Linked DNA regions of Saccharomyces cerevisiae S288C. The gene in region 2 interacts genetically with the main gene of each other region. Each region holds a gene or a part of one and is shown on either strand. Other genes may lie near its edges.

The links. A genetic interaction does not mean that the proteins touch.
Region 1: mutations in DFP4 (region 2) and YKL183C-A together harm fitness more than expected from each alone (negative genetic interaction), as found in Saccharomyces cerevisiae (one large-scale study listed by BioGRID).

What each region holds. Positions count from the first base shown.
Region 1 is NC_001143.9:97,895-100,248, forward strand, and holds YKL183C-A (uncharacterized protein), read right to left. Parts: upstream 714-2,354; coding exon 501-713; downstream 1-500. Other genes in the region: ornithine decarboxylase SPE1, read left to right, coding at 1-263; LOT5 (Lot5p), read left to right, coding at 827-1,747.
Region 2 is NC_001140.6:11,887-14,813, forward strand, and holds DFP4 (DUP240 family protein), read left to right. Parts: upstream 1-1,678; coding exon 1,679-2,386; downstream 2,387-2,927. Other genes in the region: seripauperin PAU13, read right to left, coding at 37-399; PXP3 (Pxp3p), read left to right, coding at 616-963.

The DNA of each region.
Region 1 (2,354 bases), on a different chromosome or scaffold from region 2:
ACGACGATTTTGAATCCACTACTGCGGTCCTCGACTCTATCAACAAAACAAGATCTGAGTATCCATATAAAGTTTCCATCTGGGGACCCACATGTGATGGTTTGGATTGTATTGCCAAAGAGTATTACATGAAGCATGATGTTATAGTCGGTGATTGGTTTTATTTTCCTGCCCTGGGTGCCTACACATCATCGGCGGCTACTCAATTCAACGGCTTTGAGCAGACTGCGGATATAGTATACATAGACTCTGAACTCGATTGAAGGATATATTTAACCACGACTTTCGCAAGAGAGACGGAGGGGGTGGGAAAAGGCTGAATGCAACCATTGTCACTAAGAATTTGAGTGTTCATGAACGAGTTATACACGCTATTTAAGAGTCAGAGAATGATGATTCAAGAAAATTCTGGCATTTTTCCTGTCCACCACTGTACGCCATTGTACACAAAAGTATTTTTTTATATTTTTTTTACAATTTTTTATAATTTTTTTTTATGTTTAGTGTATATTTGCTAGAAAGAAACAAGATCTTTTTTGGTAGTGTAAATGCTTAAACTTTGTCTCTTTTTCCTTTTTACTTTGGAAAAATGCCGACGCAAGAACATAGACATCTGCGAAAACCAAAAATAAAGTACCAATTGTACATACAAAAACAGAGAAAAAGTTCATGAACAGAACGTTACTACGGTATAGCAAGATCTTTGAATACATCCATTACTTCGGATTGTTCACCATACTTCAACACAGGCCAAGATAGACCATAGCTACAGTGATAGACGAATATTTATTTCAAAAGAAGCATCAACCATAAAATAAAAAGAAAAATGATGAAAAAAAAACCAAAGTGCCAAATTGCAAGGACCAAACCATCGGTCGAAAACGTCATACCATATAACCAATTCAAGAAGACGCAGCCGCGATTCAACGGCAACTTTTCTGCACTGAATAATGAAGAATACATAATACTCTTTGGCGGAGGTCGGGACCTGATACTAGGCTCCCTGACACCTTGTTCGAGCTCTCATTTGTCCAATCAAGCCAACCCACAAGACACCAGTGAGTATGGCACAGACCTGTTTATACTCAACAGCTGCATTATCATTTGGTTCAATGGCTTGGGATATGGGCTGGAAATTCCCTACAGCAGCGTTTTGTACCATGCATCAAGACGGCTACCAGATGGTAGGGAAGGGCTTCAATTAGAAATTTTGCTGACTTTGGAAAGAGACGAAGTGTTGGACATGCTCTACCAAAGCCTCGCGCCACAGGCCTGCGAATTCGACGGCGAAGAAGCACATGCCTTCACCGTGCGCAGCGTGGAATTGACTATCAGGCCCAAATATTCAATATACGATCGCCATTATAACAACGAAATCGAAACCCTTTTCACCTTCGAAAACTTCGGCGTGAACAGGGGCGATGACCTGGTAAACAATTGTAACGAAGCACTAGCCGTATGCATGGACCTGCACGGTGAGGACGTACAAGATCAAGACCAGGAACAATACCAAGATCCAAGCATGGCGTTTGAGGGTGCGCAAGATCTCAACGCCACGTATTCTGGGCTTGGAGACACCCTTCACGGGCCGCCCGTGTATCAGAACGACGGGCTGGCAGACGATCTGGATGGCGACCTCGTTATGGACAACGTGGTCTCTAGGGGTGGTCCAGAAGCAAGTATGTCTATGGAGTTCTACGCAAATCAAAATCTTGCTGGCAGAAAGAACTCCAGAGACAATGAATGAACAACATCTATTATGGGAACATCCCGCTGTACTATGCGGTCTCGTCCTCTACGAATATGGCTATTTGCCTTCGTATATACCTTTCTATACCAAGTAATGAATGTCTTGAGGGCCCGTATGGCCGCGCGAAGGCTTAGTTAAGATGTTTCAGCAAACGGCAGCATGTGAAAAAACCCGTAGAAGGTCCGCATCAGCCTTCCATGCCCGTGCACCCACGGCTCCTCGGAGGCCGGGTTATAGCAGCGTCTGCTCCGCATCACGATACACGAGGTGCAGGCACGGTTCACTACTCCCCTGGCCTCCAACAAACGACGGCCAAAAACTTCACATGCCGCCCAGCCAAGCATAATTACGCAACAGCGATCTTTCCGTCGCACAAGTTAAAAGAAATTGTTGAAAAATACAAATAATCGCGAACAATACGTTGTTGCTATTTAACGCTTTTGGTCTGACAGTAAGTGTGCCTTTCCCAATCACCGAAAAGTGTTGAACGATTCACTGCGACAATAATCAGAGATTACAGTCGGCATTTTGGCATTTTTGGCATACTTTTTATCGATTGAACCATCTTCTCCAAACACTTTTCCTTTTTCCTTCTATTCTGCAG
Region 2 (2,927 bases):
AGTTTTATGGAATTTCATTCGTAAAGGCGTTTGTCTCTAGTTTGTGATAGTGTAGATACCGTCCTTGGATAGAGCACTGGAGATGGCTGGCTTTAATCTGCTGGAGTACCATGGAACACCGGTGATCATTCTGGTCACTTGGTCTGGGGCAATACCAGTCAACATGGTGGTGAAGTCACCGTAGTTGAAAACGGCTTCAGCAACTTCAACCGGGTAGGTTTCAGTTGGGTGGGCGGCTTGGAACATGTAGTATTGGGCCAAGTGAGCTCTGATATCAGAGACGTAGACACCCAATTCAACCAAGTTGACTCTTTCGTCAGATTGAGCTAGAGTGGTGGTTGCGGAAGCAGTAGCAGCGATGGCAGCGACACCAGCGGCGATTGAAGTTAGTTTGACCATTGTATTTGTTATGTTTGTTATGTTTGTTAGTGCTGATATAAGCTTAACAGGAAGGGAAGGAATAAAGACATATTCTCAAAGGCATATAGTTGAAGCAGCTCTATTTATACCCATGCCTTCATCAGTCATCACTACTTAAACGATTCGTTAACAGACGCTCATTTAGTACCTCGCATATTCTCCATATCTCATCTTTCACAGAATTTGATTATCACTATGAAGATGTTATTGTTTTTAAACGAGGCATGCATCTTTATAGATTCCGTATGCGAAGGTATTGTTTTCTGGGGCCTTTGTCTATTCGTATGCGCAGAATGTGGGAATGCCTATTATAGGGGTGCCAGAGTGCCTTATAAAACCCTTTTCCGTGCCTTTGAAGTTTCCGTTTTCGGTCAAAAAGAATATCCGAATTTTAGATTTGGACCCTCGTACAGATTCTTATGTTTAAGCCCATATTCAATTTGCTGTAAACAGCCTCCAATGGAAGAGGTAATACTATATTATCCCTCTCCTGATAGTTTAATTAAAAATAGAAAACGTGTATTGGGAGTCGCTTATTTGTAGAGTTTGTAGTTTTTAAGCGTTCTCAGGAAATTCATTGACGCAATTACGTAATTGTAGGCCGCTGAGAAGCAGCTAGTATTGGAAGAGCCGCGTATGGTAAAAAAAAAATGTTGAGTTCAGTTTGTAGCAGTACTACAACTCTGTGCGGTGGGAAAAATTTATTCTTCGAGGCACAGTATTTTTCTTCTAGCTAGATATAAAGAAAAGTGAAAAAGGCAATATATGGCGCTAATGTATTTTATTCAATTAAAAACTTTCTGTAGGAAATGGTATTAATAGTTGGTATTCCTTGTAGACAAAACCATCGCTATATTCATGGTGACGGCTCATCTCTAAAGCTTCTTAAATGTACAGTCAGCTAAGTGTTCTCATAAGAAAGGGTTTGAAGAAGTCTCCGATAGCGTGCTTTAGTATGTTGACGAAAGAAATCAAGATCTAGCTTATATGTCATAATGAAGTAAGTTATATTGGAGTTTTTCTGGTAAATTCTACAAAAGTTATGCAACATACTTATTTCTGTCCTCTTCTTACTCGTCTTGCGGCCAAAACTCGAAGAAAAACATACGGGCCAAGAAAAATGATGCAATCCTCCCAGTTCTAGATATTCCCGCTTTTAAGTCCCGAATTATAACAATATAAAAAGGATATAGAAAATGTAATTGTTAACTTGTGGTATAAAGACAAATTCAAAAGCAAGTGAGGGCCCGCTAAGGCTATGAGTTCAGAATTATTAATATCTAATTCTAAACCAAGACCAGAAGGATTAAGAAAATTATGCGAAGGTGAGACAGTGATCCTTCCAAGGGACATAACCCCCAGCAAATGCGCTTATTTCTTAAAACAGAATATCGTATTCATTTCATATATTTTCATCCATATTATTATTACCATAATCTTAAACCGCCTGGCATTATCTGCACACGGTAATACTTTGATTATTATCTTAGCGGCTTTACTAATTACAATTTCACTATTCCTTTTACTCCTCTTACCTTACTTAAGCTGCTCAAGATATAAGTTAAGATGTTTAGATGATGATTGTAAGTTCAAACTATTAGCGGAAGTCATTACACATAAACCTAACATGGACTTGAGCACATGGGACCGGATTGCATATGACATGAACCAATTTGTATATGACCGTCGTATATGTGCAGATAGATCTTTTTTCTACGATGGCAGTTATTGCTATCAGGTTTTTAAAAAGTTGGTGGCTACCCCGTACCTTGTGAATTCCAATATGAATAGTATATATGCTGATCTGGAGATGAGAAGTAATGGAGCAACCAACATTAACGATTCTGGTAATAGTTCATTACACATCGAATTGGGCACTTATATTTTTAAAGCATTGGCCGTTTTCAGGAACTCTGTTGACAAGTACTGGGAGGATAAGTATCCAGAGATGGGGGTCACAGTTTGATTGGAAGGTATTTCTAGGTTCTACTTTAGTTTTTTATAACGCATCCAGTACAAAGAAATGATATTGGTATTTGGAAAAGTCATTGAATATTCTTGAATAGATTATAAGTGAGCTTCCTTTCTGTATCAGGATATGTGGCTTAACTTTAAACTCGTATAATAAAAGTACTCGTATTTTTGTGGGATGTTTGCCTCCGTAAATTTATAAATGGCAACAGGAACACTATTATAATGTAATGTTACAATATTACTTTTACTGTATAAGTTTAATGCTTTATAAAACTAGATGGCAGCTTCTAAGTTGTGGCTTGTGTCGGAGGTTCAAGCTGTCCTCCAAGTTCAGCGCAGCGATTATTTGCAAATTATCTACGTAAGGACTATATAAACGTTTCGATGCCCTCTCTTCACATCTTTTGTGTCGAACCTCGAACATCGAGCATGCATTGTCCATTTTTGAGCCAGTTTCTGCTTATTCTCGTATTTCAACAATAATGTTGTTGCATAATGTACGCACACTTTGTGCGGCATTTTATAGCTTACAG